5 linked regions of the Rattus norvegicus genome follow. The protein of the gene in region 4 purifies or fractionates together with the protein of the main gene of each other region. This does not show direct contact. Links are inferred from orthologs where the notes say so. Each region holds a gene or a part of one and is shown on either strand. Other genes may lie near its edges.

The links.
Region 1: the proteins of Pogz (region 4) and Zfp428 purify together in Homo sapiens (affinity purification with mass spectrometry; 3 studies listed by BioGRID and IntAct, counting the BioPlex papers as one, with this or other methods). This does not show direct contact. The link is inferred for Rattus norvegicus from reciprocal best matches to the Homo sapiens genes POGZ and ZNF428.
Region 2: the proteins of Pogz (region 4) and Cbx1 purify together in Homo sapiens (affinity purification with mass spectrometry; 7 studies listed by BioGRID and IntAct, with this or other methods). This does not show direct contact. The link is inferred for Rattus norvegicus from reciprocal best matches to the Homo sapiens genes POGZ and CBX1.
Region 3: the proteins of Pogz (region 4) and Cbx5 purify together in Homo sapiens (affinity purification with mass spectrometry; 5 studies listed by BioGRID and IntAct, with this or other methods). This does not show direct contact. The link is inferred for Rattus norvegicus from reciprocal best matches to the Homo sapiens genes POGZ and CBX5.
Region 5: the proteins of Pogz (region 4) and Champ1 purify together in Homo sapiens (affinity purification with mass spectrometry; 4 studies listed by BioGRID and IntAct, with this or other methods). This does not show direct contact. The link is inferred for Rattus norvegicus from reciprocal best matches to the Homo sapiens genes POGZ and CHAMP1.

What each region holds. Positions count from the first base shown.
Region 1 is NC_086019.1:89,225,909-89,230,456, reverse strand, and holds the start of Zfp428 (zinc finger protein 428), read right to left. Parts: upstream 3,016-4,548; 5' UTR 2,676-3,015; intron 2,407-2,675; exon of another isoform or gene 2,223-2,406; intron 1-2,222.
Region 2 is NC_086028.1:82,283,417-82,287,044, reverse strand, and holds the end of Cbx1 (chromobox protein homolog 1), read right to left. Parts: intron 1,388-3,628; coding exon 1,243-1,387; 3' UTR 614-1,242; downstream 1-613. UniProt on the Homo sapiens protein: Component of heterochromatin. Recognizes and binds histone H3 tails methylated at 'Lys-9', leading to epigenetic repression. Interaction with lamin B receptor (LBR) can contribute to the association of the heterochromatin with the inner nuclear membrane.
Region 3 is NC_086025.1:136,226,110-136,230,775, reverse strand, and holds the start of Cbx5 (chromobox protein homolog 5), read left to right. Parts: upstream 1-1,657; 5' UTR 1,658-1,700; intron 1,701-1,844; exon of another isoform or gene 1,845-1,848; 5' UTR 1,849-1,948; intron 1,949-3,430; 5' UTR 3,431-3,476; coding exon 3,477-3,613; intron 3,614-4,666. UniProt on the Homo sapiens protein: Component of heterochromatin that recognizes and binds histone H3 tails methylated at 'Lys-9' (H3K9me), leading to epigenetic repression. In contrast, it is excluded from chromatin when 'Tyr-41' of histone H3 is phosphorylated (H3Y41ph).
Region 4 is NC_086020.1:185,108,002-185,111,959, reverse strand, and holds part of Pogz (pogo transposable element with ZNF domain), read right to left. Parts: intron 3,888-3,958; coding exon 3,712-3,887; intron 2,442-3,711; coding exon 2,333-2,441; intron 640-2,332; coding exon 349-639; intron 270-348; coding exon 60-269; intron 1-59. UniProt on the Homo sapiens protein: Plays a role in mitotic cell cycle progression and is involved in kinetochore assembly and mitotic sister chromatid cohesion.
Region 5 is NC_086034.1:82,444,206-82,448,593, forward strand, and holds the start of Champ1 (chromosome alignment-maintaining phosphoprotein 1), read right to left. Parts: upstream 2,940-4,388; 5' UTR 2,832-2,939; intron 1-2,831. UniProt on the Homo sapiens protein: Required for proper alignment of chromosomes at metaphase and their accurate segregation during mitosis. Involved in the maintenance of spindle microtubules attachment to the kinetochore during sister chromatid biorientation.

The sequences.
Region 1 (4,548 bases), on a different chromosome or scaffold from region 4:
GACCACCAGGAAGGAGGGTCACAGATCGTTGACTATTAGGGACACTAAACACTTGGTACAGTTGAGATACCAGCTAGCCTGGAAATGTTTTAAATTGCTTTGTTTTTAAGAGACAAGATTTCAAATACCCTGACCTTGGAATTCTGACACTCCTGGATCTACCTCCCAAACGCAAGAGATCAAATGGTAGGGCTTCAGGCATGCTAGGCAAACACTCCACTCTGCCTACTGAGATGAATCAATATCCTTCCATTTTGCTTGTTTGAAACAAGGCATCATGGAACCCGGGCTGGCCTCAAGTTTACTAAGTAGCCTCAGATGACCTTGAATTCCAGATCTTCCTGCCTCTTTTCCTCCCAAGTGCTAGCTAGGATCACAGGATCATCACCACACCGGGTGGTGGGCGTCAACCTACGCCAATTGTATAACAGTCACCCTTGCCTAGGTTTAAACTCAAACCTGGCATTTTTTGCCTATTGCTTCAAATGGGACCCCACTTCTCTTGTCTGTTTCCTTCTCTGGAAAGCCTGTGTGTAGACCTTGATTGGCACACTCAGAACCACACAAAAACAGCTCTCTGAGGCAGAAGAGGAAGTAAGGAGAAGACCTGCACGCTGTCCAAAGCTCAAGATCACGCTGGTCACCTCAGCAGACTGGTGGTTGAGCAAGGATTCAAAACCATGCTTTGAATAGAAGTAGGCAGTCTATACCTACAGTCTAGCCCTCAGGCTGGTAAATCTGTAGTTTAAGGCCATTAGTTGGCCTTAACAGAATTTGAGGTTTGAGGCTAGTCTGAGCTAAATGAGACCCTGTCTTAAAAAAAAAATTATAAATGTATTTTCTTGGGGTTGGGGATTTAGCTCAGTGGTAGAGCGCTTGCCTAGGAAGCACAAGGCCCTGGGTTCGGTCCCCAGCTCCAAAAAAAAGAACCAAAATAAAATAAATAAATAAATAAATAAATAAATAAATAAATAAATAAATAAATGTATTTTCTTGCCATCTCTCCAGGCTTCTGTGGGGTTGGAAGCAGGCACATAAAGGCCTTTTATTGCCAGATGGGAAGGGTCCCAGTTCATCATCCATTTGCCATCTGGAATTTTCTCCTTCTTCTTTGTGGATCTGTAGAGCTCATTCTCACCCTTGCAAAGCTCACCTCTAAACATCTATATTGCTCCTTGGCTCCAATAATCCACTACTCTCAATGTACACATTTCTTCCTCCTCCTACATTGGGAGAGGACCTTGCAAGACCAGGCACATATGGTTTCCACTCTCCATTAGACTTGCTATCCAGTCCAGGCTGGCCTTGAACTTGCAATGCTCTAACCTCAGCTTCCCAGTACTATAGACAGGGACACTAGTAATAAGACAAAGGCTCAATGTTAGGCACTGGGGACACAAACAATGGTAGAAAGCACGCTGTCTTTTCAAAGCCCAAATGTTTGCTGTTGGGGGAATGTAGCTGGAGCAGCAGGAGAAGGGTGGTATCATTGGGTAGGGAATTTCCTAAAGACACCTAGATCCTGGATCAGGCCTTTTAAGGACAGAGAAATAGGAATTGACAAGGAAGGGATCTCCTGACTATCCATCAGGTGTAGGCCCTCTAACTCTGGAGTATTATTTCTGGAAAAACTCGCACTATTTAGCAAGGAAAAACGGAGGACGACTGGTTAAGTTTCTATTTAAAATAAATATTTAATATATGTATTCCATGCGGTACCTAGGATTACCCATTCCATAAACCCAAACTCACTCTTTTTTGAGATCTGTCCCCCCCCCAAAAAAACCCCCAAAACAAAAAACAAAATATCGAATCCTCCTGCCCCAGCCCCTGAGTGTTGGAACTATAGGCACGTGACATCACACTGGGTTTTAACTATTATTCCACTTGACCATCACACCAGAAATTGTCAGGACTTTCCTCGGGGTTACTTGGGGACAACCATCCCTTTCCAAACCCACGTTATATAAAGCTCCTTCCAGAATGTTCCGGATATCAGGTGGAAGCATGACAGGTGAAAATCTGCTGGGCGTGGCGCGCACCCCTGCGAACTCAGCACTTGGTAAATTTTAAATTCTAGGTCGTACTCCACGATATTGTGGGTCCAAAACCAAGAACATGAAACCGTCTGCCCCAGTTCCCTCAAAAGCACAGAGTGGCTAAGACCCCACCCACCCCACACACAAATGAACCAACATTGTGTGAGTGAACACAATAGATACCTTTTCGCACAACGCTAGGTAGGACAAGGACTCGGAGAAACCCGCTATCAAACAATAAAGATCAGCTCCCACAATGCCCCGTGACAACTTCCCACGATGCCTCGGGCCTTTAACGACCACCCTATACAAACGCCGGGCACCGAAACGCTCCTAGCCGTGAGGCTTCTGGAGGAGAGCGTGTGCGACCAAAAAGAAAAAAAGAAAAAAAAAAAAAAAAGTCCCTTCCAGGAGCCCAGGCCCTTCCCAGAATGCCCCAGGCCCATAACTCCTGGCCCACGGACTCCCACAATGCCTCGAGGCGAAGCTGTGGTAGGTCCCGAGCCGCGTGCTGGGAGAAGCAAAGGACTCTCTGGCTGGTCACTCTGCCAAGTCGCCGCAGGCTCCCGTCATGCAGCGGGGCTGTATCGCCCGCTTCCCAGCATGCCCCGCGCCACCCCAACCACGGACACTCACCGACGCCGGCGGCCCCGGCTCGGCTCAGCGGTAGCGGCTGCACGCCCGAGCACTGCGCTTGCGTTTAGGGAGGCTAGGCGAGCGAGCGAGCAAGTGAGCGAGGGGCGAAAGGCGCTCAGGGCGCGTGCGCGGTCAGACAGACCATTCCCGGCGATCGGTGGGAAGAGGGGCTCAGAGAATTGCACAGGCTGCAGAGCTCAAGCCGGCGGAGGTGTCGGGCTCTGCGGCTCACAGCCCCGCTAGACTTGGTACAGTCCGCGGTCCGAAGGGTGAAGAAGATTCAAGAATCGCGCGTGCGTGCGCGGTAGAGCGAACGCGCCTTATAAATAGGGGGTGCCTTGGGGTGAGGGGAAAATGGGGGCCTAAATACTCTGCCTAGATCCCGGGGCTGGAGACTCGCTTATTTGCATAATCCTAGCGCTGGACAAAGGAAGGCCTCCCGCACTGGAGGATGTGATTTGCATATTCCCGGGAGAGGCTGTCCTCCGGAGCGCAGTGATTAGCATATGGATGGAGAGGGGGGGCACCTGAGAAAAGCGCATGCGTTTAGGGGACTGCAGACTTAAGCGTAGTGGGATGGCAACCTTGTCCTGAAAGTACTTAAGGTCTGGGACCGGGTTCACGTCCCTGTCACCTAGGATAAGTACCAGGACAGCACGTGGTACTTATGCGTTGCGAGAGATCTGGACCCCCAGTCTAAGGAAGATGAACCACATTTTTTTAGACTAATACTTAGAACTGTCAAGACCTGGAAGAGGAGCCGTGGATGCCAGAAACGCCTGCCCCAACCCAAGGTTCTGCAAGAGCTGATTTTTAAGCCAAGTCTGAACTGGAGCCAACTAGAATCGCTAAAGCAAATGACCAGAGGCAAAGTAGTGCCCGCATTCTTAGAGGAAGTCAAGGCAGCTTTTGCATGGAACACAATTAGAAAGTTTCCTATAGGTGTTTGCTTTTTCTTTTCCTTTTCCTTCTTTTATTTTTATTTTTTTATTTGAGGCAGGGTTTCATGTAGCTCAGGTTAGCCGCCAACACCTGGATGGAAAAAATGACCTTGAACGCTACCTCTAGAGTGCTGAAATTACAGGCATATGGCAGCCAGCCCGGCCCCTGTAGGTAATTTTAAAGAGCTATCACTTCATACTATTCGTAGCCATCCCTACAACCCTCTCCCATGTCACTAGCAATCTAAAACTATAGTAGAGTCCCATTACATCACAGAAAATGAAAAGTTGTGTTTTGCTTTGTTCCTGAGAGTCCCCCTGTGTGGAACTCACTCTAGCTCCAGGAGGTTTTCATGAACTGCCTGCAGTTCTCCTGCCTCAGCTTCCGGAGGGCTGGGATGACAGATATGCATCCCCTACACCTGGCCTTTCTGTCCCTAATGCCTTTGCTGGACCCACCCACCATTTTATCCGGTCCAGATCCCCAGCACTTCAAACGCAGCGATCTCTGCCTTCTCAGGCTTTGATCTCGCCAACGCTTTATCTGAAAACCCTTTGTCCCTGCTGCTCCGAGCTCACTCTCTCCCGGCACTGATGCCAATCGAGAGGCCTTCCTTGATGATACAGCTCCTGCAGATGGAGTAAATTAGGGAAACTGACACGGTACCCGGCTCAATAAATGCGGCACTTTTGATGGGGGTGTGGAAATGGGGTAAAGGGTGCCTGGGGCTATGCGGGCCTCCTCTGCCTCGCCTCCTTCACTTTGCATGAAATTTCCATAACAAAATAAAACAATACCTTACATCATCCCCACCCCGCCCCCGGTGTGTGTGTGTTTTATGCATAGTTGGCTAGCTGGAACCTTAACAACGCGTTGTAAGCAGTTATCTTTTGTACATCTCAGCTGGCCTCAAAACTCCCAGAAGTCCTCC
Region 2 (3,628 bases), on a different chromosome or scaffold from region 4:
TCTAGACAATACTAAAAATTGATGGATCTCATGATTTAAGACAGTATTTTGGACATCAGTTAATCTGAAGATTTTGTATTCTCAAGTGAACCACTACCCCAATATGAAAGTTAATCTCCTGAGACCAGGGCTTGTGAAGTCATTCAATCCTTGAATAGACTCAATGGAATTTGTGCTGTCAGTAACTGAACCTGCCACAAGCAGTTTCAGGGTTCAAAGCTGAAAAAACAAAATAAAAAAAAAAAAAAAAAAAAAAAGAAAGAAAGAAAAAAAAAAAAAGAAAAAGCGAGAGGGGCTCCAAGAGTTTGCCCCCAGAGCAGAGGCTCCCCTCCTCCATCTCCCATAGGCCCTCCTGCAATACTTGAGCCAATGGCTTAGACGGACAAACTGATATTTATAACTTTGTAATTGGAAAAGGTTTTCTCCAATTTCAAGAATTAGCACCTCTGAGGCAGAGTGGTCTGCCTCTAATACTCTCCAATAAACTTTCCCTCTCCAGTCAGTTTCCATCATCAAATGGCAGCTTTGGTAACTCAGAACTGGCTTTGTCCTTTGTGGGCTACTTTGAGCTCAGGTTGGGAGCACCTTGGCTGTAGGTTTTAGGATTAACAGACTTTTCTTTTTTTTTTTTTTAAACAGTCTCTCATAGTCCTTATTTATGGTGCCAATGACAATTTTTTGAAAAGGCAAAATATTCTGGACATAGAACCAATTTATTAGTTAACTGTTCTACTGTTTCACCATTTCCCCAATCAGGCTCCAAATTTTAATCAAAATGATTCTACCCATCTCCCTTCCTCCCTGCCCCAACCCTCCCACCCCCAATTAATATACCAGTAATAGCCAAAAAACTACACACATGCTAGGCTGTAAAAATGCAGTTAACACTATTGGGAAGAAGGCAGTGGGTTGTGGAGATGCTCTTTGAAGATCGACAGTATCTTTGCTTTCCCACATCCCAGTTCTGCGGGTTCTGTCCTCCATGGAAGGCCTGTTCCTTCCTTAGTAAAGCGCAGAACAGAGCCTTGAAACACTTACCCTTTCCCCTCCCCTGGGATGGGTGTGCAAACTATACAGTGTGAACAATTTAAAGCACTTGGGCTGCTGCAGGACACAGAAACTATGCTGGCTCTTCAAAGGACATCTTCTCAAGCCACCTCAATGGTGTCAAGACAAGTACAGCTCCTTCCCTCCCCCTGGAAACCCACAGTCAGAGGTGACAGGGGCTGGTACTCAACAGGGCTAATTCTTGTCGTCTTTTTTGTCATCATCCTCTGAGGGGTAGGAATGCCACGTTAGCCTTTCCTCATAGAAGGATATGACAACCTGTGGGCACTTGACATTGGCTTCCTTGGCAGGGACCAGGTCAGCCTCATCAGAGTTTTTCCTGCAGAACAAAGCACAAAGAAACTTTGAAGTCAGCCATTGTGGTCTCATGTTTTGGACCACCCAGGGAATGGGGCTTTAAAGGCTAAATTCCATAAACAAATTAGGAAACAGGGTGCAAGCAGCATTTACTAGATATGTATTATCACATCATACAAAGATATTCCTGTTAAAAATCTCCCCCCCTCTTGCCTTTTCTCTGCTCTGGTGCCCTCTTCCCTGTCCCTTCTCGCCCCATCCTTCCCCCTTCCCTCCACATGCTCATGGCCAGCCTTTGTTCCTCCCCTCTTCTACTCTTCTTCTCTCATTAAACCTCTCCATGTGGGGGAAAAAAAAAAAAAAAAAAAAAAACTCCCCCCAAGGGCAGGTTGCTGTGAGTTCGAGGCCAGCCTGGTCTACGAAGTGAACTCCAGGATGGCCAGAGCTATACAGAGAAACCCTGTCTCAAAAACTGAAACAAAACAAAACTAACAAAAATCTTCTCTAAGAAACGTCGTCAAAAGGTAGGTCATCTGACTCAACTATTTCTTTAGAAAAGCCCCTCCCCCCAAAAGCTTAATTAGAATTTCAGAAGGTAAACAAGATTAAAATCTGGGAATAATATGCATTATAGGGAGTTAACTAGGAGGAAGCTCTATCCATTCATCTTCAGCTCACTGGGTCCGTCCCAGACAGAGGCAGCAGCGTGGGGCAGGACAGAATGTGACAAGGCCCCACCACAAACCTCCCAAATGTGACCATGAACAAGGGTTTAGAGCCACAGAGAACCACAGAATAAGCCCATATGATTAAGCCTCTATAAGAAACCACACCAAGATGGCTGGAAATGTACTTACAAAGTATCTAACACACTGCCCTATTTTAACAGAGATTCTGGAGTAAGTTTAAGTCTTTTCACTACATAGAAATATTTTCTATTTTCAGCAATGGACAGGTATTACCACTTTCCTGGAAAACCATGCAGCAAATTAAAAAAATTTTATGTGTACGTCTTTTGCCTATACATATGTATACAAATGTGTGTCTGATGTTAAGATTCCCTGGAACTACAGTTCTACAAGGTAGTGAACCACAATGTAGGCACAGGGAACTGACCCTGAGTCTTTTAGAAAAGAAGCCAGTTAACTGCTGAGCCATCTCTCCAGCCCATTTTTTTTTTAAGAATTATTATATTTTATGTATATGAGTACACTGTAGTGTACTTTAGCAACACCAGAAGAGGGCATCAGATCTCATTACAGATGGTTGTGAGCCACCATGTGGTTGCTGGGATTTGAACTCAGGACCTCTGGAAGAGCAGCCAGTGCTCTTAACCACTGAGCCATCTCTCCAGCCCCACATTTTTTTATTTTATTTTTTGGTTCTTTTTTTTCGGAGCTGGGGACCGAACCCAGGGCCTTGTGCTTCCTAGGTAAGCGCTCTACCACTGAGCTAAATCCCCAGCCCCTCACATTTTTTTTAATGTGCATGTATGTGGTACTAGAAATAGAAGCCAGAGCCATGTGTATTGTTCTACAGATACACAGACCCATGAGCATACATGTATCAGTCTGTGTCAGTGGTTCTCTACCTTCTTAATGCTGCAACCCTTCATACAGTTCTCATCTTGTGCTGACTCCTAACCAAAAAATTCCATTGCTACATCATAAATGTAATTTTTCTACAGTTATGAATTATAACATAAACATCCGATACTCAGGATATCTAATACATGACTCCTGTGAAAGGGTCATTTGGCCCTCAAAGGGGTCATGACCCACAGGTTGAAAACTGCAGCTCTATGTTGTTTTGGAGACCAGCTAGCCTCAAACTCACAGACAACCATTTGCCTCTGCCTCTAAGTATCGGGATCAAAGGTGTGCAACTACCACACCTAGCCATGTGTGACTTTTAAAAACTTGGGTAAAGTTTTACAATCAACACTCAATCTTTTGAGGGTGAGGGAGTGGGCGCTGAAGTTCAAACCATGAGCCTTGTACATGCTAGGCAAGACCTCTATCAGTAACCACATCTTTATCATGAAGGTTTGGGTTTGTTTTGTTATTTTACAGGGCTAGGGATCAAACCCTTTCCATCTGAGTCACACCCCCAGCTCAACAGCTAACTTTTTTTTAATTTAAAAATTTGATTTTGTGTATATGAGTGCTCTATCTGCATGTGTACCTACATGTCAGAAGAGGACATTAGATCCTAATATAGATGGTTGTGAGCCACCATGTGGTTGCTGGGATTAACTCAGGAC
Region 3 (4,666 bases), on a different chromosome or scaffold from region 4:
TGGCAATGTAGTTGTGTACGACCTTAAATTCCTGATGTGTTTCCTGTTAATGGTCTTTGCTCTTTTATTATTATTATGGTATTATTATAATACCCTTCTTTTCTTGGGTATTAGGGATTATTAATATGAAGATTTATATATGAGTAATATATTGGGATATTAATTACTAAAAGTCTGCTTTATAGCATTATAAGAATAACTAATAAATACTGTGATGGCTGTTGCCAACTTGTTCTCCCTCGCCTTTAAACTAAGGAACTAATTTTTCCCATCTGTAAATTCAGTTGAAAGGGTTTTTTCCTTTTTCTTTTCTTTTCTTTTTTGTTTTTAAGATTTATTTATTTTATTTATATGAGTGCACTGTACCTGTCTTCAGACACACCAGAAGAAGGTATCAGTTCTCATTACAGATGGTTGTGAGCCACCATGTGGTTGCTGGGATTTGAACTCAGGTCCTCTGGAAAAGCAGTCAGTGCTCTTAACCACTGAGCCATCTCTCCAGCCCTCTTTTTCTTTTCTTTTTCTTTTTTTTTTCCTTTGGTGGTATGGGGGTGTAGCTCAGTAGTCTGTATGGTTAGCATTTCTTCTAGGCTCCTCCTCCCCACAGTTACCTGGCAACAGCCAGGTATGCCTTGCTAACTATAATAGGGGCTGCTTGCCACCTCCTCTCTCTTGCTCTTATTCTCATACTCTCCCTGACCACTTTCTCCCTTTCCCCCTCCCTCCACTTGTTCCTGGCAGACCTTTCCTCACTCTCTCCCTCCCTCCCTCCTTCCCTCCCTCCCTGCCTCTCTCTCTCAACTCCCTTCCCAACTCCATTTCCCATGCCCTAAATAAACTCTGTTCCATACTCTAGCTGATACTATATGGCTGGTACCTCAGGGGGAAGGGATGCCTTAGCTTGGGCCCATAGAGGCACCCCCTCCCACCTCACCGTACCTGGCTCTATCAAACATATCCTGGCTCTTTGTTTTTTGTTTGTTTGGTTTGTTGTTTTGCTTTTTAAATAAAACAACAGTATAATGCCCTGGTTTCCATAATCAGCTCCCAAAATCACAAAGCTTGATCCCTGGTCATTGTTTGTTTAAAGTCTTTGGGTTCTGTTGTAATTCTCTCAAACAAGAGATGTTACATAGTAAAATATTTTCCCTCTCCCTTTCCTGTTACTTTTCCCCCTCAAGCAATTTTAATTAACTGGACAGATGATGGGAAAGCCTTTGTCCCGAATGATTCTAGATAAAGGGTTGATTGTCCTGATCTGTTGTAGTACCTAATCTTGCTTTTCCCCTTCTTCCAGTGAGCGATAATCCTGTTAGGTGGTCCTAAAATGCTATTGATTAATTCACAGCGCTTTTAGAGAAATAAGCCTAAATTTTGGACTTTAAAACAAAGAACCTAACTCCCTTGAGCTCTGAAAGCCTTAGCCTCGGGGCCAGGGGAAGATACCTTCCAACTTCTCCACCCAGTCTGCAGTGAAAAGGAAAGTTAAGCCTTTTAACTTTTTCATTTGCCTCTCCCCCCCTTAGTCTAGTACGGCTGCCAGTTGTCATGGCAACGGACTGGGACAGCTGCGCAGTGGCGCCCAGGCAGCTGGGTGGGGGCGGGGGAGCTGCCAGCCCGCCAAGCCCCAGACCTGGGAGGGGAGGCCCCTCCTGTTAGCCCAGAGGGAAAGAACGAACTGGGGCGATCCGGTAGGTAAGGTAGGGAACCCCTATTGATCTACTTTGAGGGCTTCTCTTCAACATAAAGGTATAAAGAAAAAAATTCTCTTCCTCAAACTGAAGAACACATATGTAAATCCTTGTTGTTTTTTTTTTTTTTTTTTTTTTTTTTTTCCTGGTGAGGCAGGGAAGGCCATAGCCACAATGCTTAACTGCATGCTTCCAACATGGGGCTGGTTTTAACCCAGCGCTCTGACCTAAAGTGCTCAGCTCCCGGAAATTCCAAGGTGAGTGGGGGTGGGGGTGGGGTACTCTCCCTGGAATATGACATTTCCTGTCTGTGGTGAGGTCGGAGGCTGTGTTTATTTTAAATAAACCTTATATATTTTTTGATGTTTATGAGTCTTCTAAATAAATGGAAAGATTATTTCAAAACCCCTTAACTACATTCCCCCAAGCCTTTCTCAAATAAAGTTACCATAGGTCAGAAATTAATATAAGCAGTTTTTGAGGCGGGCATACCTATTTGCTAACCAGTTTTATAGGTAGGATTTTCAACACTTTATTTTTGTAATAATTTCTTACAAATTAATAATTTAAATAAATTGTTAAATACAACTTCTGCTTCTTTGACTTGAACATGATTTTAAGATTAGCTGCCCTTTTTATTTCTGAGATTGGCTTTCTGGCCAAGATGGGAATGTTCTGAAAAATATCTTTAGAGATTATAGCAAAATAACAATGGAGTCAACTGAGAATCAATTCTTGCTACTTGGTAATTCAGACTATGGGTGCCATTTAACATTGTTAAAGAATTATTTTAAAATGATTATGGTAACAACAGTGTGGGAATTTTAAAAACTAGATTCTCTGTGAGCACTCCTGATGTGCATATTTCTGAGCTTAACTCAGTTTCCATTTGTGCTGCCTTGCTGTGGCTTTTCTGGGGCCTGAGGCTGATGAATAAGTCCTCTGTGTTCTTAGGAGGCTTCATGTTGATGCAGAGTCTGGGGCCAGACTTCTCCTTCCTCTTCCTTTGGCCCAAAGTCAACTTCAGTTAAGAGACAAGGTACCTCCTGAACTATTTAGGTTAGTTGAGCTCTGGGAATTACAGACTAGTCCAGTGAGTAATTCTGAAATTTTTTTCTCTGCCCCTCTTCCCTTTTATCCCCAACTGAGCTTGCTAAAAAGAAGACTTAGTATGTTTGAGCTGTCAGCCTTGCTTCTGTGAGCTGATAGATAATCTGAAAGGACAGGCTCAAATTGTTTAAGGGAAATGTACCAATTCAATGGAAATGTGAGAGATGGCCCAAGCAGGATGTGTGTGTGTGTATCCTGAGAGTTCAGAGTATAGAAAAATTAAATTCAGGTGCATTGGGGGGAAAGGGTCTTTTATTCACCTTGATGGAAAAAGATTTTTTTTATTCTTTGTTTCTTTAATTGAAGGCTTTCCATATTTCTTTTTGAGTTCCTGGCTCACAAGTAGATGTAGAAATGGTCAGGAGTAACATGCATGCTGTTTGCTCTTTGGGAATATGAAATTAAAGAGTGAAACAATTATTCCATCTAATAATTTTGATCTCCAGCTGAAGAGAAGTTGTTAGAGAAGTGTGGATTGACCCATGTTAAATTTGTAGCATTGTCATATAATAATTGTAGATCAAAGAGAAGGATAAGTGTCTCACTGGTGTTATATCCTCTGTTCCATCACAAAGAGACAATTTTAACCCTCAGATAGATTAAACCATTTCATCTTTCCCCCTTTTCAGGAACCTGGTGGCCGCACTCCTTTAGGTGGACCAACACATACCCAACATGGGAAAGAAGACCAAGAGGACAGCCGACAGCTCTTCATCAGAGGATGAGGAGGAGTATGTGGTGGAAAAGGTGTTGGACAGGCGCATGGTTAAAGGGCAAGTGGAGTATCTGCTGAAGTGGAAAGGCTTTTCTGAGTAAGTGCTTTCTTTTTCAGTCTTTAAGACTTTGTAGAGATTAGAAAGCTTTGGTTTCTTTGTCCATGAGCCATAATCTGTCTTTTTCCATTTACATACTGTCATGAAAATCAAAACAGGCAGCAGACCACACACTGTCCCTATTATGGAGCTGATACTTTAATGGTTTTACTTTTGAAGAGTAGTTTAAGGAATTGGTTGGAAACACAGACTTGGGAGCTAGATATCGTGGGACCAGATTCTTGTTCCATCCCCTAAGATACAGGTGAATGACCTCGGTTAATTTCTTTTTTTTATTATTATAACTTAAATTTTTTTGCCATTTTGTTTTGTTTATTTTTTATGTTTTTTGAGACAGGGTTTTTCTGTGTAACCTTGGCTGTCCTGGAACTCCCTATTGGACCAGGCTGACTTTGAACTCAGGAGATTAGCTTGCCAAGTGCTGTGATTAAAGGCATGTGCCACCACATGGAGCTAATTTTTTTTCTAATTTTTTGTGTATAAGTGCTTTGCCTATATATACTACATGTATGTTGTCTGGTGCCCATGGTCCAGTAGAGGGCATCAGATCAGCTTGAAGAGGAGTTACAGGTGGTTGTAAGCTGCCATGTAAATGCTGGAAATCAGACCACAGTTCTCTGGGAGAGTAGACAATCCTCTTAAACACTGAACCATTTCTTCAGCCCATTGGCTAATTTTATAATCCCCCAACCCTCACCCCACCCCCCACTCTAATAAAAGAGGTATAAGAGGTTGGTAGGTGTAGCTTAGTAGTAGAGAGCTTTCACCCAGCATACTCAGGGTCCTGGTTTTGTCCTCACATATATACCAAAAGAGGAAAAGAAACAAAAACCCAGGGATAAGGCATAGTACTTGGTGGTCTCAGTGAGTGTGGGTGGACCTCTTACATTTGAATTTAGATCACTAGAACCCATATAGAGTCGGACTTACATCTCTCCCTGCAGTGATACACTGAGATGGGAGACAGAGATAAGAGAATCCCTGGGAGCCTGAGGGACAAGTAGCCAGTCATACATAGCAGTGAATAAGGGA
Region 4 (3,958 bases):
AGAAATGCTTTAGCAATGTTTTCTGCGTGACTGAATGGTGTTTCAGTCTCTCACATTACCTTTCATTGAAGATTCGGGTCCACTGGTTCTTTGAGCAGAACTGTTGTTGGACACCACCACTGGCCCAGGACTCTGGCCCAGGGAAGGGATAGTGTTAAGAGTATTCACCAACTTGGCCACTTCGTTGCTATTTTCACCTGTAACCCCAGGTCGCTTCACAGTGACAAAGCTGGCAATGCTCACTGCAGGTGGAGAGGGGAAGGAGGGAGCTACATTGACCAAGTGAAAATCATCTGTTTCCCACCCACTGCCCCATGCTGTTCTGCCGTCTCCTCGTCCACATCTCACCTAGTTTGGGATTCGAGGTCTGGTTGGGCTGGCCTGGAGGCTGACCAGCTAGCTGCCCCAATGCGGTTGGCTGTGTGGCAATGGGAGTAGTGGAGGTACTGGGGGTGGACTTGGTCTGCTGGGACTGGGACTGTGGGACAGTGCTTCGGATGGTGAGAGTAGCTGGGATGACGGTGGTAAAGGTGTTGGTGGTGGGCCTCACAGGCATTGTGGAGCCTGGCCTCACGGGGGTCATCTGAGAGAACACTTGTGGGACGCCAACTGTCGGCTTAACAAACTGTGTACCTGGGGCTTTTAAAAAAAGAGACAAAAAAAGTCCCAAACCTTCATCAGTGAGCTCACCTATAAAATATTTTCTTGCCTTTCCTAGAAATACAAGAACAGGAAAAAGTTACTCCCTAAACTGACTGAGTGACCACCAGAGATCACTAAGAGTAGCATCGATCTGAACATCTAAGAAAGCTGTAGCTGTCCGTCAAACAAAAGGAATTATCCAACGTTTCGTAAAGCAGCAGTCAGAAGAAATTCCCACCAACTCTTTTCAGATGCCCTGCACACACTCTTTTTTACAGTAGCTTGGCCTCCATATTAGAAGTGGGAAAAGATTGGGTATATGCAGGCCAAAGGGCAGACTTGGTCCTTAAAGTCTTTTTTCAGAATTCTAAAAGAATTTTCCATTTTCTTCTGTATACTCAAATAGGACAGGCAGTCTACTCTACCTCAATGTCCCAAAGGTTGACCTTTTTCTAGAACTACTGTAGACAATCCCAGGGAAAAACATTTAGAGAACCTCAGAATGTTAGAGACATCTCATCAGATTTATGCCTTAAATGCCCTGATGGCTCTCAAACAACAACAAAGGAAACAAAAGAACAACAACAACAACAAAAAAAAAAAACAAACAAAATGCTTTGGAAAGCCAACCACAGAAGCCCCTTATTGTCCTTGTATTTATCTGAGTGTGTGTATGTGTATATGTGTGAGGGGTGGGGGGTGGGGGTGGCATGCATACCACAGTGTGCAAGTGGAGTCAGAGCAAACCAAGTGGGAACTGGTTCTTTCCATCATGTGGCCTCTAGGGAGTGAACACAGGTCCATTTAGCCCTGAGACACCTACTGGTCCTAAGGACTGTTTACACAAATAAAGTTACTCTCTTTTTGAGCCAAACTGTAGAAAACCTAATAGGTAAGCATTGTGATTTGGGGGGAAATTACAAGAATCTTCTTTTGGTACTGAAAAATTGACCCCAAGGCCTCAAGCAATGCTAAAAATGCTATAACTCCAGCCCCAAGATTCTTTTTTTTTTCTTGGTTCTTTTTTTCGGAGCTGGGGACAGAACCCAGGGCCTTGCGCTTCCTAGGCAAGCGCTCTACCACTGAGCTAAATCCCCAACCCCCCAAGATTCTTTAATATTCCATTATATGGTCAATGGTAGTATTATCTTCAAAACATCTATCATTTACTTAATTTATATCTAAAATTCCCCCAACCTCTGCCTTAGCTTGTTTATTTCTTGAGACAAGACTTGGCCTTAAATTCACAGTAATCCTCCTGCTTCAACCTCCTGAATGTTGGATTCCAGGAGTGTGTCACCATACCTAGTGGCATATAGAAAACCTATGCTTTACAGTTAAAGAAAAATTCAATTTATAATCCTATCCCATAAGTGAGTAAATGTATGGGGAGCATTAGATTTGTGGGTTTGCATTAACAATATTCTTTCAGGATAACAAACAAGAGCTGACCTCATCAGCAGATACTGTTTGACTAAATAAGACTTATTTTACCTCATGAATGGTGGTGAAAAGTTAAATGTAAAACTAAAATTACCACTTGACTAAAGTTCAGACTTTTTAAAATTGGACTTAAATTGTTAACATGGTATTTTAAAATTCTGTTTAAATACATACTTCCAAATGACCGAGACTATTTTGAAACAATAAGAGTAAGTATCTGGATGCCAGGTTGTAAACATGTCCTTACCTGGGACCAGTGTAATTGGTCTGACTGTTTGGCCTTGCTGTACATTCAGCACGATCCCAACCTGGTTCATGGCATTCTGTACAGGGCGAACATTCCTTACAGGGAATCCCTGTATCAAAAAGAAAAATGACCTTTAATACAGACCAACTAGCCAGACACTGACTACAATATGACTGACAGCTCCACAGTCTTACCTAGCAGCTCTCTCTAGAATCACAGCTTTCAAATGACTGAAATGGAGAATTTTAGGAAATTATGGCATGCTAGGTTTTTATGGGGTGTTTTTTGTCCTTTGTTTTTGCCTTGAGACGGGTCTTGCTATGTAGCTTAGGCTGCCCCCAAACTCCTAATTCTGTTGGCAAATATCTTTGGGGTATTTTTGTTCTGTTTTTTTGAGACAGGGCTTTATATAGCCCAGGTTGGCCTTAAACTTGCTATGGAGCCCAGGCAAGCCTTGAATTTATGACAATTTTCTGCTTCATTCTAAAAGCTGGGGTTATAAGCATGTAACACCACACCCAGAGTGCTTAGCAAACTAAAGAAGCAAAAGCAACAAAACTATGCATCCATACACTGTGCTTTGAAGGGAAGAAAAATCACTAATAGTATTTAATCTAGTATTCCGACAGATAAATCACCTTTTTTTAAAAATATGTTGCTCTCAAGCCCACTTCAAAGGCCACAAACCTCTGGTAACTACAAAGGCAGAAAGAAGCATGTGCCTCTTAAATTCCACCCAGATTTGGGCTTTCAACTGACAACCGGTATACTGTATGGCAGAGCCTTCCTTCAAAGACCACTTATTTTATACATGTATTTAAAAGTCAATGAATTCACCCTAGGGGATAGAAGCAGCCCAGGCAAAAGTTATCCCTTGCAAGGCAAATGTGAAGGCTTCAGGTTTTTTTCCCCTTAAGATGTGTATGACTGTGCACGTATGTATGTGCACCACAGGGATGCCTGGTGTCTGTGGAGGTCAGAAGGCATCAAGCCTTCTGAAAGTGAAGTTACAGACACAGCTACGAGCTGACATGTAGGTGCTGGGAATTGAACCTGGGTTCTCTGCTAGAACAACAAATGTTCTTGATGGTTAAGCCGTCTCTCCAGCCCTGAGTGAAGCCTTTCTAATTCTAACTTTCCTGATGATTTCTGCTCAGACTTTCAACTCAACAGACCTCTCAGGTGCATGGACAGGCAATATCATGTAGCCATAATGCTATGCTGAGCATTCCACAAGGCAGAATTCCATGAAACAGTACGGAGAACCTCAGTTCAACAGACAGAACTCTAACAATGATAAAGATCGTGTCCAAGGCAGAGCCTCTGCAGGCTCACCGTCTATCTCCCCAAACAGACCTAGAAGTCGAAGCCCCACTCACCTGGGTAGTGATGAAGATAGGTTGTGAGGCCACAGGGGAGCTAGTCACATGATTGGCATTCTGCATGACCTGGACAGGTCTCAATACTGGTTGAGTAACCATTGTTCCCAGACCCGGTGTTGGATTTTGGGTCAAGATGAGTGGTTGTCCACCTTGCTGGACCAAAGTATTACCAGCTAAAAAGCAAAAGGCAGGCAAAACAAAGGGAAACAGAACATGAAAGGGATGTTAGAAACAATGCTAAACT
Region 5 (4,388 bases), on a different chromosome or scaffold from region 4:
TGTTAGGAGTGTGGGCTGCTACCGAGATGACAGTGACTAAATGAAAGACAAACAAGCTGGAAGGTAGATCGTCCCACCTCATTCTGTCAAGATAGGGTTTCTCTGTGTAGCCCTAGATATCCTGGAACTCGCTCTGTACACCAGGCTGGCCTTGAACTCAGAGATCTGCCTGTCTCTGTCCCAGTGCATATACCACCACCACCCAGTAGACAGAGTCTCCAAAGAGTTGTAGCTTAATGGATGTACACTTGCCTAGCATGGGTAAGGTCAATTAGCAATGGAAAGAATAGAAGAGGCAGGGTATCCTAGTACGCTGGGAAAACATGTAAAACACATGTTGACAAGCAGTATTAAAAATTATCACTTATGAATATAAACATGTCACAAAGGAAAACTTATGGATAGTACAGACGTCTTTCTTTTTTAGATTTATTTATGAGTGTTTTGATCACATTTATATCTGTGTGTCTGGTGCTCATGGAGGTCAAAAGAGGGCACTGGATTCCTTGAACTGAGGCTACAGACTATTATGAGCTACCATGTAGATGGTGAGAATCAAAGCTGGGTTCTCTGCAAGAACAAAAAGGCCTCTTAGCAGCTGAGCCAGCTCTCCAGCCCCAGCACATTTTATAAAATGCTTTATCATGAATTGGAACAAAGTGTTTGTCAGTGGCAGCACACTGAAAAGTTAGCAATCAACACAAGACCAAAAGGACTAAGAGCCCAATCTCTTCGTTTTACAATGGAGAAAAATGCTCAGAGAGTAATTTCTTTTTAAGTGTTGTATTTTTGAGGTTTTTCTTTTTGATTTAAAAAAAAAAAAAATGAGGGCTGGAGGGATGGCTCAACGGTTAAGAGCACTGGCTTCTTTTCAAGAGTTCAATTCCCAGCAACCACATGGTGGCTCACAGCCATCTGTAATGGGACCTGATGCCCTCTTCTGGTGTGTCTGAAGACAGCTACAGTGTACTCCTATACATAAAATAAATAAATCTTTAAAAAAAGAGAGGGAAGAAAAGGCTATCCTTTAAAAACAATGTTTTCAATACAGTACATTCTGATCTCAATACAGTGCATCCTGATCTCAACACAGTGCATTCTGATCTCAATACAGTGCATTCTGATCTCAACACAGTGCATTCTGATCTCGTCCCACGCCCCTATTCTTCCCAGGTCCTCCCCATCAACCCAACTCCATGCCCTGAGAGAAACTAAACTCTTCAAGGTCTTGACTCTGAATCTTTGCTTGACAATGTGCATAGACTCCCGTCTGGATTCCGGCACTTCTGACACTAACTGTAAAGACTAAAAGTCTGCACTGGTCACTGGTGCTGTCAGCTGGTGACCCATACTTTCCAATGCATCCGCACATTAGTCCACTCACTCTCTTCCTAGTTACCGACAGTTTCGTGTCTCTATGCAGCCCTAGATGTCTTGGAGCTCACCATGTAGATTAGGCTGACCTCCAACTCCCAGAGACCCACCTTCCCCTGTCCCCAGAGTTGAGCTCTTCGATGAAAGGCGTCCAATCACCATACCTGGCCGTGATAGCCTCCTTCACTTTGATATACATGTTTCATATTAAAAATTCAACATAGAATGCCTGTGAGCTCAGTGGATATGTAAGCTACACTGGTTGCCAATCTGACACACCTGGGATACTGGAGCCTCAACTGAAAAACTGTCTCCACCAGACTGGTTTATAGGCATCTGTGGGGCATTTACTTTGATTTATAATTGCTGTAGGATATTCAGCCCGCTATAGCAAGTACTGTCCCTAGGCTTGTAGGCCTATGCTGATTAAGAAAGGGAACTAAATCAACAGTACGCAGCTATAACTGTGTTTTCAGCTCGAGTTCCTGCCCTCAACAACGGACTACAACCTGTAAGATGAAATTAACCCTTTTCTCCCCAAAGGTGGTTGATCACAGCAACAGAAAGCAACCTAGGACGTTGGATCTATTAGTCTATTGTACATACTAGTACAATTGTTCTTTATGAATAGCCTTTTTTTTAAAAAAATGATATACATCTTGACTAGTTTTGTGTTTTAAAAACAACAACACAAAGCACAAATAACTGGCACGTTTCTACACGTTTTCCAATTCTATTGACAATTCGCGTTAGTGAGGTAATTTGTAACAAGTGACACTTTCTTGTTTCCAAGTGCTGGGACGGAACCCAAAGCCTCACTCTTGCTAAGCAAGGGCTCACCATCAATCCCAGCCTAATTTAGGAAGCCCACAGTTTACATGAGAGGCAGAGTCACCTGAGTGCCGTTAGGGTTCTCAGAGTAATTTTACTGCTCAGAGTTCCTTGTGTTCTTGACAAGCATGACCCGTTTACCTGGGGGTAAAACTTCTGGGCACCGAGCGATCTTTAGTTTAAATGTGAGAGAACACTAGATTGGCACGAGTTTACACTCCACAGCAAAGTGCCAAAGCGCTGGCCCTTTCTTGGAAAACACCCTACTAGTCTGCAGCCATCCGAAAGGCTCCCTGGACAAGGCTAACCCCATATATGGTCCACGTCGGGAGACCTTCTGTCACAGGTCACAGGTCTTTAGGACCTCAGGTCAGTAGCCCTAAAGCAAATTCCTGACCGATATTGCCCCCTCCCATCCTGAGCGACGCTACGCTACACGGACAGAACCAAGATTAAAAAAAAAAAAAAAAAAAAAAAAAGACCGGCCTTGGAGGCGGAGAACAGGAAGAAGCCACGGTGCGCTCCGGCCTCCAGGCCACGCCAAAGGCACTAAAGCCCCCGCCAGCACCACGGCGCCCGCCCACCCAACCCTGCAGCCCGAACCAAGGCGCCCGCCGGCTCCTCACCCTCCGGCAAGGTGTCCTGGAGTGAAGAGGAGGATACGCCCACAGGAAACGCTGGGCTGGCCGCACGGCCTCGGGAATGGCGGCTGGACGCAGGACTAGCCGGGAAGTAACGCACGCCCGCACCGGAAGTGCCGTCGCGTGCCTCCGGGTCGCCCCCTCCCCCGGCCCTAAGGTTCCCAGCTAGGCTGGGCTTGGCGAAGCAAGGACTGAACCTCTGTCCTGGGCTTCTGTCTCTTTGCTTCCCTCTTTTTCGATAGTTTGGATTTTTGTTGCTGTTGTATTTTGTGTGTGTGCGTTTGTTTTTGTCTTTTGATTTGATCCCTTCTCAGTAAAGACGCGTTCATTGGGACACTGTCTGTACTAGGCAATAACAAAGCTCTTAGAGGACAGTAAACGGGTTTCCTGTCTTCAAACTCAAACTCTAGAAATCGGCTTCAAGTACAATTGAAATATACTCACCTTTAGTTTTAGCATTAGTCCGTTTGCTTTGAAAGATTGGGAAGACCTATTTTACCTTACTTTATATACCTATGTAATTTCTTAAGCTTTTGCCTTTGGTGGTGGTGGTGGTTTGGTTCCTTGAGTTTTGGTTTTGAATGGTGATAGAAATGAACTCAGGGCCACCTTATTTAAGCAGCCCATGCTGTCTGACACATAAAGTTAGTGACTTTTGTTTGTTTTTTTAAGACAGAGTCTCTCCCTATGCAGCCCCGAGGTTCACCTGTCTCTGCCTCTCAGGTGCTGGGCTCAAAGGCACAAGCCACCATAAGCATCCCTAACCCACTTTTGAGACTCCATGACTGCTTGCACCAACAGCCACTATCCAAGGGTCAGCAAGTTTCTTTGTCCTCTTCACTGCCACCTTCTGCATGGGTTTCTCCGTGTTTGGAGTCAACTCTTGTCAACCATGGGGCTGGGAGATGCTTGAGAAGCCAGACATAGAGTTTGGAAGCCCATGGAGTAGAGAAGAAGAAGGACCTTTCTGGCAAGTCAGGGGAGTGAGATTCGCCCTGAAAGCCTGTGTGGTGGGGCAAAGCAGCGTCTACCAGAAACCAAGGAAGTGAGATTTGAGGAAGTAAGACCTATGAGGTGAAAAGGAACAAAGCCTACCTGGTGGTACATTGTTGTTAATTGTTATGATATAAAAACACAACTGATTTTGTGTGCAACCCTATACCAAGCTACTTTGCTAATTCATTCTATTAGCTTCTGAGAGTTCAGTGTGTGCATGTGTGGAATCTTCAGGGACACAGCAAATCATATAACCAGAAAGCAGAGACACTTTTCACTCGAATGTAATGTTCTTCAGTATCCTAGTTTTGCTTCTGTGTTGCTGTGATAAAACCTAACCAAAAAGAAGCTGGGCGGGAAAGGGTTTACTTTATAAGATACTGAGGAAACTCAAGGCAGGAACCTTGAGTGAGCAGAGACCTTGGTGCTATTCCTAGCTTGCTTTCCTCCCCTGGATTGCTCGATACCTTCCTTATACAACCTAGGCCCACCTGCCCAGGTATGGAACAGCCCACAGAGGGAGGCACTCTTCCCCCATAAGTTAGC